Linked DNA regions of Sus scrofa. The protein of the gene in region 3 interacts with the protein of the main gene of each other region in a pairwise test. Links are inferred from orthologs where the notes say so. Each region holds a gene or a part of one and is shown on either strand. Other genes may lie near its edges.

Region 1 (4,167 bases), on a different chromosome or scaffold from region 3:
CTTGGCTCCCAGGTCCCTGGATGCAGCCAAGGTGGATGTGGGCAGAGATGGAGGAGCTACGGTGGCAGGCGCCACAGAGGGGAGGGCTCTTCAACGAGGTGCAGAGCCAAGTGGCTGAGAGCTTCTTGGAGAGGAGAAGCAGAAATGCCCCGTTCTCGGCACATCTCCAGCCAAGCCTAGGAATAGGTCAGGATTTAGCCGACTGGGGACTTAAAGGGCCCGTCTACTGAGCAGCCTGGAGGGCTGTGGTTTTTATCATTCATTGCAAGCACACCGAGAGGCTTCTTCAAGCCTGGAGACCCAATATTTCAAAATGAAGAATTGTGCTTGAAATCTACCGAAGGGGGTGGGTTTGGGGTCTGAAGTCTGGGGTTTGAGTTTTCTTCTTGGGTGACTAACTGTCCCTGGGGTGCTGAACTTTCAATGCTAAAACTGGAAAAGTCCTGGCTTCCTTGAGATGAATGGGTCGTTCTGTTTTGACTCCTTGCTAGCAGTGCTCCCCTCAAACTTTTAAGTTTCTCCTTTTCCACGCCTAAAGAATCAAGTCACTGATAAGACCTGCTGTATCAAACTCGAAAACCTGTGGGACTCAAAAGAGCTATGGTATGTTTCCTGCAGCACCTCGAACCCCCTGAATCAGAGCACATCCACTGCCAGACAGGCACCTGCTGACCTCCCCTCCCTCTCCGTTTGCGCTCTTTGGAGGTGGGAGTGAGACCGCCTTTTCATCTCTGCAACCCCAGGGCCTCTTGGCAAAGAGAAGATGCTCGGGAAGTCTGTGCTACGTTGAAAGCGCTTTGTAAAGCAAAGCGGAGCATGTTTTCTTTGGTTGGCTGCTCCTCTCATTTTCAGCCTGCCCCTGGTGAGCCCCAAGAAGGGTCCTCTGTAGGTTCAGACAGTCAGATGTACCCCGAAGCAGTTGTCAGGAAGACACAATGGGGCAGAAGGGGCAGGAGGCCAGGGCACTGTCTTGTGCTGTGTGAGATGGGGGAGGGATCCAGGCCAAAGGTGAACAGGAGGTGAGAGAAGCCCGTGGTGGGGGGCTAGGGGGGGTCCCACTGGGAGATGAGGAAAAAACAGGTCCCCACCACGGGGAGGAGATGGACTTTAGCTGGGATCTTAGCAAGCAGCCCAGCTCCAGCCTCTGGCCTCGGGGGCTCCAGCACCAAGCTGGGCGTTACCTTCACGCCAAGATCCAGTGCTTGCCCTCTGCTGCCTGCCTCCCTGATTCTCTCTGGAGGGCTCCTCAGAGGGGCAGCCTGCCCTGGGGGTCACCCAGACCTTAGCAGGCTGAGCTGACCCTTTGGCCTGGGCCTGGCCTGCTGGGTAGGGTGGTACCTCCTGGGTGGTCGGCCCCAAAGCTCAGTGCTTGCCTCTTGCATCCCCGCCCTGTGCCTGCTCCTCTGCCTCCTGGACACACAGAGTTCTGGTTCTGCTTGGCTGCCCAGGGTCCCAGCCTTGATCTTAACCTTCCAAGTCTCGGTTTTAGCTGATGCCCCTGGGAGCAAGTCCTGGGGCTCTGGGACTGTTTGGAGCTGGCTGGGGTGTGGTGGGGAGAAGCATGACCCAGAGGCAGCCCAGATGCAGGAAAGCCCCTCTGCGGCCCTTGCCAGCCTCTACCCAGAGGCTCCCTCCCACATGCCCTCCAACTCGATGTGGATCCTGTTTCATTCTCTCGCTGGCACATTTTTCTGGGGCCCAGGAAGGCTGGGGACATAGTCATAGCCCCCATCACCAGAGACTCCTGAAACTCCGAGGTAACTGGTCTAGTCCCCGCCTCTGATTAGGTTAGATCCCAATTTACGGTCAGGGCACCTAGGCTCAGAGAGGGCAAGCAACCGCCCCGAGATCACACAGTAAAGGAAACGTCAGCTGTTCCCCAGCCACCTACCTGAACTCTCCTTTTTCCGTCTGGTTGACTTCTTCTCCGTCTCATTGGCACTGCTCCCAAGGACCTCGTAGTCCTCGCCCGGGCCACCCGTGGTGTCCACCAGGCCTGGGCTGCGGGCCCCCATCTCCTTGGAGCCCCCCGCCGGGCCTGGGTTGAGCCTCCGCCGGGCCTCCGAGACAGGGAAGGGCCAGTCAGGGGGTTGTGGGAAGGCGGGGTGCTGCTCAGTGAAGAGGCGCTCCTCCTGGGGCAGGCTGTGCGGGGTGGCCGCCAGGCAGGAGGCCGAGAAGTCAGGGTACGCTGTCGTCGCTGTCGCTGTGAAGTCTGGTTTCTGGTGGAAGGAGAACGGGGTCGGCGGGTAGTGGGGGAGCCCTGAGGCCCCGCTGCCTTCTGAGTGGGGGTTTCGAAGGCAGCCCCAGACCGGGGCTGGGGGGTGGGGGCCCCTCATGCAGCTGCTGGCCACTGGATCCATCTGTCGTCTGCCCCACGTCTCAGTCCTTTCAAAGGCTGGATTGGTATACTTTATACTCAATTTGTTAAAAATGCAAAAAAAAAAAAAAATTTTTTTTTTTTTTTTTTTTTAAACAGAAGAGAAAAATGTTCAACAGAAAAATTCCACCCAGGACCCCAAACAAACACCAAAACTAAAGTCGCTCCTTACGGTCCGCACACAGGTGGCTGGCTCCACACACGTGTGTACACACCTCTATCAGACTTCACTCCTGGCTTCCTGGCCCCCCCGACGCACCAGCTTGCCTATTGGGGTCCCCTGTACGTGTATGTGTCGCTGATGACACTCAACATTTTCACTGTCCCAGCCCAGACGCACCAGCTAAAGAGCGCTTGTCCTGGAGCCTGCAGCAAACGCCTGCAGAGAGCTGGTCCAGGGCTGCTGAGACACACTTTTAAATCCTGCGGTGGGGAGAGAGTGACAAATTTCTGAAGTGAAATGTGAGAGAGGAGAGGGAGGGGTTAACCAGCACACACACCATCCCCTCCAACCAAAACCCGAGCAGGCAACTATTAATCATCAGAAACCTTATATGCACATCTAATGGGATTTGCAGATGGAGTCTTTTAAAGAAACATTGTCTGTATTTTTTTTTTTTTTTTTAAGGAGAGAGAGCAGCACACACACAATTTCTTTAATGTGCCTCCTATAACACTATGAAGTTATTTTATTGCACTGTTAACAAAATTCCCCAAGTCTCGGATTTGGAAAAAGCCTTAAGTCAGATCCAGCATCCATCAAGTGCCAAATTCCAGGGAGTGAAGCTGGGAATAAGTGCAAGAGACAAGTTTGCTGATTGCATTTGATTTAAAGGCCCTTCTACTGCTGCTTGGCAAAAGGAAGGTGGATTAAAAGAAAGCTTTTTTTGCAAGTCTCAGCGGCCCACTACCGTCTATAGTAGAAAGACACACTCTAGAAGAAAAAAAAAAAAAAGGGTTTCTCTCGGCCCAAAGTGACATTCTCACTTTCCCAGTAACTTAAAAAAACAATCAGATTCTTCCTTCCGCTCTTTAACCCCCAACTTACATGCCAATTCGCCACACTCATCTCTAGAGGGGTTTCAAGTCATTTTTCTCCATGGCAAGGGAAAGACTGTCAGATAAGTTCCTTGAAGTTCCTCCAGGCCTCCCCCACCTGCTCTCTGGCCTCCTAACCTTCACCCACCTGCTTCCCCTAACCCCCAGAGGCCAGGGTTTCCATGGAACCTGGGCATGGAAATAGCAATCAGGGCGATTCTCATTCCCAAAGGAGTTCTCTTCGGCACACAGTTGCATGGTCTTCCAGGCTGGTGCCCGTCCCTGGAGGCCCCAAGGCCATTTCAACCGTCCAATTAGTCCACTCAATCCCCAGGCCCTGCTGGTCTCTCTGGAGGGTTAATATAATTTCCTGGAGGGGGAGTTCCCATCGTGGCTCAGTGGTTAATGATTTCAACTATGAGCCATGAGGTTGAGGGTTCAATCCCTGGCCTCGCTCAGTGGGTCAAGGATCTGGCGTTGCCGTGAACTGCGGTGTAGGTTGAAGATGCAGCTTGGATCTAGCGTTGCTGTGGCTCTGGCGTAGGCCGGCAGCTACAGCTCCGATTCGACCCCTAGCCTGGGAACCCACATACGACATGGGCGTAGCCCTAGAAAAAGACAAAAAAAAAAAAAAATTCTTGGAGGATGACATTCCAAGCACATGGGGTCAGAGCTCTTCTCTTACTGACTATTCCACAGCCCAGAGCTGCAGGACTGGGGCCGAAATGGGCATGGACCAGAAGAGTGCTATC
Region 2 (4,376 bases), on a different chromosome or scaffold from region 3:
TGTGGATTCAGAAGTTGCTTATCATTTCCTTATACTGTATGGAACAAGGAAAAGGGAATAACACTTACTGAATGACTACTATGTGATGGTGTGCTAATTGATTTCCATATTTATAGGCAATATCTTACTGAAAGGAGCTACTGTGTTTCTACCTGAGATCACACAGCCAGCAAGGGTTTAAAACCAGGATATCTGACTCCAAACTGCATGCTCATTCTAGCGCTTCGCAATGTCCAGATATTTTATTATGCATGTGTGTTGCTATCATTACTTTGCAGTGGTTCTCCTATGTCCCATCCCATCTTCTCCCCGGATGAATAAAATATAATTCTCTAGGGACAGTGACCCATGCCTTAGGTTTTTTTGACGTTCCCAGTCCTGGGAATTAGGACCACACATTTCACAACAAGGGGTTCGTGCCCATAAAAAGCTCCTGGAACACCCGGAAAGTTCCAGAGTGATCCCAGCGCCCAGAGCAGCCTGGCCAGGTTTCCCATGAAGAAAAGGATTGGTCTCCTCCCTGATCTGTGGGCAGTGCCCTGGCATGTGGATGCAGACCCAGGAGGTGGGAGAGGAAAAGGTGGGATTCCCCGTGGAAGAAGGGGATGCAAAGAAGGATGCAGGATGCAGGAGGGGAAGACTCATAGCTGTGGGGTTCTTTCCAAAGGCTTTATTAGCCAGGCAACCAAACAGGTTGGCCTCAGAGCAATGTGCTCCCAGCTGTGACATAAGTAGGATGCATTCATGCTGAGGGCCCAGGAAGGGCTCTGGGCACCAACATCTCCCGCACAGATGCCTAAATCCCCCCTGTGGTTGGGGATCTGTCCTTAGCATCAGGCCTGTCCTTCTCCCCAGCATCTCGTGTTTTGTTTTTTTTGTTTTGTCTTCTTAGGCCTGCACCTGTGGCATATGGAGGTTCCCAGGCTAGGGGTCTAACCAGAGCTGTAGCTGCCGGCCTACACCACAGCTACAGCAACGCCATCTACAACATACACCACAGCTCACGGCAGCACCAGATCCTTAACCCACTGAGCAAGGCCAGGGATCGAACCCACAACCTCATGGTTCCTAGTCAGATTTGTTTCCCCTGCACCACACTGGGAACTCCGACCAAGTCCATTAAAGCCCTGCTTTGGCAGCGTCACTGAGGGTTACAATCACAGAACATTCAGCCACCGGAGGTTCCCTTTCAGGCGTGTGAAGCTGAGAGGCCCCAGGATGCTGGAAGGAAAGACCAGCCACGCCACTAATTTTCAGACCAGGTGATAAGCCTGAGCCTCATTATCATATTTTTAAATTAACTCTGCTCCCGAGTGCCATGAGAAAGTCAATGTTGGTTTTCATAAATGCCAGCAGATAAGAGGATAATTCACAGGTCAATGTGATTGATCTTGATAGAATCATAACATTAACAGCAAAGAGGATAAAGATGTCATCTGCCATCCTCTGTGCTCATTTTTGCTAATTGTTGAACACGGAATCTTCTGACATCTTCTTCCTAAAGCTTATTCAAACTGGCAGAGGTGCAGGCATGGTCGGCAGAGTCCATAGCTTCTGAAGAACAAACCCAAACCCAGGGGACTGGGACAAGGGAACAGAGAGGGATGGGGGGCGGCAGGAGTGGAAGGGGGTCGCTGTCAGAATGCATCCTGACCTGGTGTAGGTCCTGCATCAATGGTCTGGCAGTAAACAGTGCCTTTAGGAAGTTCCCAGAGAGCGCTCACTGGGGAACTGCGACCCCCCCCCTCCGCCCGAACTGAATTGTTATGTACAAAAGGACCCAGGAGGGCAGAGAGCTTGGGCACTGATGGTTAACGCGCTGGAGGGAAAGAGCTCAGAAAGTACAAGTCCCTAATGTGAGGAAGAAAAACTGAAAATCAATAAGACCTGAAAAGACCACAGGGTGATAACAAACAGTGAGCCATAGGCATCTGCAATGTAACTGAGATGCGTGCCTGGCGGCTTGTTTGGGAGCCAGGAGGCCAGAGGCGCTTTCTGGCAATGCAGGGCTCAGGGCTGCTTGTGGCTGTTCCCTGCTGCGACGAATGGACTTGGTCTCAGAAGGAAGCAGAATGTGGCAGAGACCTGCAGGGAGCTCGGGGGTAGGCAGTAAAGATGGGGGGGAGGGGAGGTACCATGTCCTAAAAGCCAGGGAAGACGCAGCTGGCCTGTGCCCAGCCGGGGGCACAGCAGAGGAAGAGGCACTGACCTGGTTTCAAGCCTCCAGCTCCAGCCCTGCCTTACTAGTGGGGCTTCTGGGTTTCAATTCCTACACAGTCTCCCTCACGCTGCTTGGCCCCATGCCCACCACGTGATCACATCACACATCAGTGCTCAGGGCATCTCCCTCTCTCCCCCCCCAACCCCCGCCGTGTTAAGCAGATCGGTCCTTGCCCCGCCGCCAGCCATGCACAATCTCCTCTGGGGAGATCGAGTCAGCACACTGGTCCCTCACAGTCCTAGAGGTGGCCCAGTTCAGATCATCTAAACTTACAGACTACAGCCACACCACCCTGAACAAACCGGACCTGAACGCGCCCACATCTCATCTAAACTTAGAGACGCACCCTTCCCCCACCCAGGACTGCCGGCCTGGAGCATCCTGCTGAGGGTCCGGAACCTGACACAGGACTTGTGCGCAGCAGCAGTGCCTCACGTCCTCCGAAAGGCCAGGATGCCCAGGGGCAGTCAGTCCTGTTCCTACACAGCCCTGGACAGAGCTCTCTGGGTGGCTACCTCTACGCTGGATTCCTCCGCCCTACATTTCAGCCCCTCCGGCTGCACAGCCATGATCTTCCAGCAGGGCCTTAGGTGACTCTGAAGAAGCAAGGCTGCCCCCCCTTTGTGACATAGCCATGGAAACAATCCAATCAGGAGAACCCCTCCAGGGAAACGGCTGCTTAGCAGGCGGAGAGCTGAGAATCTCCAGCCCGTCATCCATTCACGGGCTTCCATTCGGAATCCTGCAAGCCCCGCCCCCCCATACTCTTGTCTTGGGCAAAAAGCAGGTCTTAATTCTCCTGACACCCCCAGATGACCCTGCACCCCTTGGGCTGAGTCCTAGGTTGTCTCCTCATGGGTTCAAGTCATATGTTTTTTGGTTTTGTTTTTTGTTTGTTTGTTTTTCTTTGTATGGCCACACCGGCGGCATATGGAGGTTCCCAGGCTAGGGGTTGAATTGGAGCTGTAGCCGCTGGCCTACACCACAGCCACAGCAACATAAGATCCGAGCCTCCTCTGCGACCCACACCAGTGCTCACAGCAACAACGGATCTTTAACCCGCTGGATGAGGCCAGGGATCGAACCCGTGTCCTCATGGATACTACTTGGGTTTGTTAGTGCTGGGCCGCAATGGGAACTCCAGGTCTTGCGTTTTTGATTCCAAGTCTCAGATCTCATTGTCTGCCAGCCACCTCCCAGGACCTGCCAGAAATCCAGAGAAGTTGCAGAACAGCCAACGCCAAAAGATCTAATTTTGGAGAGACTGGCTTATTTCAGAGTGTCACAGAGATTTCAAGGGGTAGGGCCGGAAGATCTTATCAGATCACCTAACAAGCTCCCTCCCCACCCCCCATTCAAGACTCAGAATGGCTTAAGTGCCCTCCCCCAGCCACACTGCTGGCTTGGCAGCTGCCCTACAACTAGAATCGGAGGCCTTGCTGGCTCTGCCTGCTCCATGTCCTCAGGCTAGAGTTTTGAAAGGGGAGGGTTATTCTGGCTAACTGAAGGGTTGCATCCTTCTGTGATTATCCCTACCTGAGGCAGAACCACATTGATTGGAATTTCTAGGCTTTCACATCTGGTATCTCTTTTTCTTGTAAAATTTGGCCTCGAGTGCTGCGGAAAAGAGAAAATAAATGGATTTCTGCTTCCCGGCCCCTTCTCTGGGCCTCAGATGCTCACCCAGAAAACAAGACTTTCTACTGCTCACTTATCCCTTCTTGCTAATAATGTACTTTATGAAAATCTGAGTCTGAAAGGATGTGAAAGTGATATCTGATAAGATATTTTACAGTTGATGGCAAAGCCTTCTGAAAGTTTTTGGAGTGGAGGTGCCTAAACCTACCACCTTTTCTAAGATTCTTTTTTTTTTTTTAAGGGCCGCACCCACAGCATATGGAGATTCCCAGACTAGGGGTCCAATTGGAGCTGTAGCCACCAGCCTACACCACAGCCACAGCAACACCAGATCCAAGCTGCATCTGCGATCTACACCACAGTTCACGGCAACCCCAGATCCTTAACCCACTGAGCAAGGCCAGGGATCGAACCCACAACCTCATGGTTCCTAGTCAGGATTCGTTTCCACTGCGCCACGATGGAAACTCCTAAGATTCTTATTTCTATCTCAAGTAAAAAGCCATACCAGTGTGAG
Region 3 (4,142 bases):
GGGAGTGGGGTTGGGAGTCTATGAGCAAGTCTCCCTCCCGCTCTCGTGCCAAACCCCAAGTCCAGCCCCCTACAAGTAGGTCCACCCTTGTAAGGGGATAAGGACAAGGGCTGCCTCTAATCTCTTACTTCTCAGAACCAGAGATGTGAACTTTTGCCTTCCTACCCGGTGGAGCATGAGAGCTCAGGAAAATTGAGCTAGAGGCCCCAAAGAGAAAAAGAACAGGGAAATGTAAGCAGGTGACGTTCCAGGGGCTGAAGACAAAGCTCCCCAGGCGATGACCTGGGACCTACAGGGATAAAGATCTTGAGGGGGCGTGGTCCCTTAGGACGCGTGCATCAGAGATTTCCAGGAGGCCAGGCTTCTGGGCGATCAGACGTGGATTAGGGAAGGGGCGGAGCTTCTAGAGGGGCGGAAACCCTAGAGAGGAGTGGCTTCACGAATTCAAGCAGATCTTTGAGGGGCAGGGCTTTGCCCTTTGGGGAGATAGGCTTTTTGACAGACAGGAGTTAGCGGAGAATCGTCGCGAGGCGGGGTTTCGGGTAATTGGAAAGACTTAACGTTGGGTTTCTAGGAGTAAGGCTTGGAAGCATGTCTAGGGGTGGGACTTCCAGGAAAGCTGGGCGACGGGGTGGGGTCGGGGACAATAAACGGAAAATAAGTCGGGGTTCAGGGAGCCCCCTGAAGTTGGGAGGTGGGACTTCCGGGGAGGGGGTCGCAGGGGGCGGGACTTATAAATGAAGACCGGAAGTAGGGTCCCGGGAGAGGGGTTCCGGGGTGGAGGGGAGGTTCGCCTAAGGAGAAAAAAAAAGGTCCCAACTCACCAGGGCTTCATGGGGTCTCCGCACCGCACCGCGGGTCGATTTGGTTCCGGATCACGCCACTGCCTCCTTAGGTCGCCGCTCCAACTTTCTCCCCGGGCCCGGCCTCCCTGGAGAAACTTTATTGCACTCACTTCCGGCCTTACTAACCCCTGACCCTCTACCTCATCGTCCCTCCTTCACCCGTCCCACTTTCCCAAATCAGCCAATGATGCGCGAGAACGCTCACAGGGCAGTGATAGCCTATAAGAGGCCTATTTTTGCCCTACGTTTTTCTTTAGAAACTTAAGCAGTGCACTCCAATAAGGACCTGAAGAGAAGCAAATCTAAGCCAATCGAAGGCTTGGAAGTGGAGTTGTCCCGCCTTCCGCCAGGCGGACCAATAGGAAGCGCGGGCGGCGTGTTTGAAAGCGAGGCCAAAGAGGGTGGGAGCGCGTGCTGCTGGGAGTTGTTTGGAGGTTGGCGGTGCGGTGTTGACGGTCCTCTGGCAGAGCGATCATGTCGCACAAACAAATTTACTATTCGGACAAATACGACGACGAGGAGTTCGAGTACCGGTTAGTGCCGGCGCGGGGGCAGTATCGAGGTGGTGAGCTTTGACAAGTGTGGGCACGAGGAATTAGTAACAGGGACCGAAGGTATAGAGTCGGCGCATGCGCAAGAGGTTAACGGGAATGGGTGTGCGCTTTGAGCGTAAGGCGCATGCGCTAAGGGTAGGGGGTCGCTCAAAAAAGCCTAAAAGTGGTAGTGAATTTGTAGTAAGCTCTCCCGTGGGGAGGAGGCGTAGGTGGGCGTGGTTAGAGTGCTGACCATCCCCACTCTTGAGGGTTTCTGGATCATTCTCTCCAATTTGCTCAGCAGATTGAACTTGACTTCTTGAGACTGCTTGTATCACCGCAACACCACAGAGCCTCTGGGGTCGGGAGAAGCTCGAATTTTCCTCGCCTCTTCAAAGTGAGGGGAGTTCTGAGAGAGCCTGAGTGGTGTTCATTAATTCTTGGAAAAGGAGCGTGGTTGTCTGGCTTGTTTTATAGGAAGGGGGCTTTGAAGATCAGGAGTGGAATAAAACTGGCCAGAAGCATTGAGTAAAGACTTAATACGGACCTAATAGATGACCTTCAAATATTTGAAGGGCATCTACTTGGGAAACAGCTTATAGGTTTCAGATGTTGTGCTAAAGTGCAGGGATAAGCCATGGTGCCTGCTTTCACCAAAACTTTTTTAAGTCTGTGGAAATACTCAGAAGGTGGTACTTGGCATGATAGAACTTTGTACAGGCTGTGATGGGAGCAGTAGGACTTGCCAAGCACAGCGAAGAAAGTGAGTCGCTCCAGAGTTTGCATTTGATAAATCCTAACCATAATTCTAGATTAGAAAATTAGGGAAGAAAAGGAGTTCTGCAAATGTTGGCATTCCACCAATCTGTGTTAATTGTAATACTTAAAACACCTGGAAGCTTGGTTGTTTTGTATTTCTTCTGCAGCCTAGTGCAGGGCTCTGGGCCCTCTGGAGAACTTGGAGTGTGCCAACAAATACATAACTATATGTATGCCACATGGTTGGGAAAAGACCCCGAGCCCTGTTTGGACCTAATTAACTTTCTTTTCCTCACCTGTTTTCCTCTCCATCTAAAGGAGGCTAACTAAAATTAGGTGCTTATAATTTATAAGGGCTAGGGGAACATCACTAGTTTCCTCCCCTGGAATATGTAAGACTTGGCAGTGATACCTGGTTTAAGAGAAGAGGTTTTATTATGTGTTGCTTTTTTTATTTGTTTTTTGGGGCTATTGGGATTTTTTTTTGTCTAAATGGGTATGGAAGCCAGTCTTTACTCCAGGGACTTATTAGGATGTAAGCTATTTTCAAATATTTAGACTAGAATGGACTCTTTGGGGTTCCCGTTGTGGTTCAGCGGTCATGAACCTGACTAGTATCCATGAGGATGCAGGTTCAATCCCTGGCATCGCGCAGTGGGTTAAGGATCTGGCATTGCCATGAGCTGTGGTTTAGGTCCCAGACGCTGCTCTGATCCTGAGTTGCTGTGGATGTGGCAGCTTTCATAGGCCACAAGTGAGGCTCTAAAAAGAAAAAAAAAAAATGTCTCTTTGGAGAAAAAAAAAATCTGTTAGCACAGAGAGAGCATTCGGTACATTTTCATTGAACATGCTAAAGTCTGTCTGGGTCAGCCCAATCCAAATCAGAATAGTAACTTCTTTGCCATGAAAGGGACTTATGCTTGATTAGGAAAGCATGCAGTTTCCCAAAAGAAATCTCATGGCACATCCCTTCAGAGTTAGGAAAGTAAAATTAAAGGAGAAGACATTTACATTTCTGCCTTTGTGCTGGCTGCTTTTTTTTTTTTTTTTTTTTTTTTTTGGCTTTTTAGGGCTGCACTAGCAGCATATAGAGGTTCCCAGGCTAGGGGTTGAATCAGAGCTGTAGCCACCAGCCCACGCCGCAGCATCTGCTGCCTACACAACAGCTCACGGCAACACCAGATCCTTAACCCACAGAGCGAGGCCAGGCATTGAAACTGCGTCCTCATGGACACTAGTCAGAATCATTTTCCCTGAGCCACAGTGGAAACTCCTGTATTGGCTTTTCTATACAGTACTCCCTGATAGGCCTTTCCTGTCCATGAAATCATGTCCCTCCCTTCCTTACCAACCCTGTGCAAAACTGCCTTTAATTATTAACACTGTGTGTGTTGTGGGGCTCCCATTATATTGTTCTAGGGTAATCAACTAGAAGACTGTAATCTCCGAGAAGGCTGAGGCAGTGCCTGGAATTTAGGTGCTCCTTCACTGGTGTTATCCATTAATTTGTACTTTTTAATATCCTTTTGTAAGAATTTACGTAACGTGGCCTTTATTTTCTAGCTGCCTCTGCCCCACAGTGAGATTATACAAACTCCCTGCCATTAGGAACCGGTTTTTCTTTCCTTTCCTCTCTTGGTTGTAAATGCAGGCACTCGTCTGACAGTGTACCCGGTAATGAAACCAATTCCCCGCCTTCCCATGTTTCTGTTACAGGCACGTCATGTTGCCCAAGGACATAGCCAAGCTGGTCCCTAAAACCCATTTGATGTCTGAATCTGAATGGAGGAACCTTGGCGTTCAGCAGAGTCAGGGATGGGTCCACTATATGATCCATGAACCAGGTCAGTGCACTGGCAGAAAGCAATCATGTAGGCCTGTGGGAATAAAGGAATGATAAGATCACATGGCCCAGAGAAATAAGGGGAAGGTGGGGGTGGTTTACTGCGTTACCCCACCAGCTATCTAGAAAAACAGAAGTGACCAAAAATAAGAACGTATCTGG

The links.
Region 1: the proteins of CKS1B (region 3) and MEOX1 interact in binary tests that used the Homo sapiens proteins (3 or more experiments, as listed by UniProt). The two-hybrid records come from large-scale screens. The link is inferred for Sus scrofa from reciprocal best matches to the Homo sapiens genes CKS1B and MEOX1.
Region 2: the proteins of CKS1B (region 3) and SPERT interact in binary tests that used the Homo sapiens proteins (3 or more experiments, as listed by UniProt). The two-hybrid records come from large-scale screens. The link is inferred for Sus scrofa from reciprocal best matches to the Homo sapiens genes CKS1B and CBY2.

The regions. Positions count from the first base shown.
Region 1 is NC_010454.4:19,430,060-19,434,226, reverse strand, and holds the start of MEOX1 (homeobox protein MOX-1), read right to left. Parts: upstream 2,825-4,167; 5' UTR 2,361-2,824; coding exon 1,892-2,360; intron 1-1,891. UniProt on the Homo sapiens protein: Mesodermal transcription factor that plays a key role in somitogenesis and is specifically required for sclerotome development. Required for maintenance of the sclerotome polarity and formation of the cranio-cervical joints.
Region 2 is NC_010453.5:21,617,879-21,622,254, forward strand, and holds the start of SPERT (spermatid-associated protein), read right to left. Parts: upstream 2,825-4,376; 5' UTR 2,791-2,824; coding exon 2,737-2,790; intron 1-2,736.
Region 3 is NC_010446.5:94,816,709-94,820,850, reverse strand, and holds the start of CKS1B (cyclin-dependent kinases regulatory subunit 1), read left to right. Parts: upstream 1-1,267; 5' UTR 1,268-1,319; coding exon 1,320-1,378; exon of another isoform or gene 1,379-2,625; intron 2,626-3,853; coding exon 3,854-3,981; intron 3,982-4,142.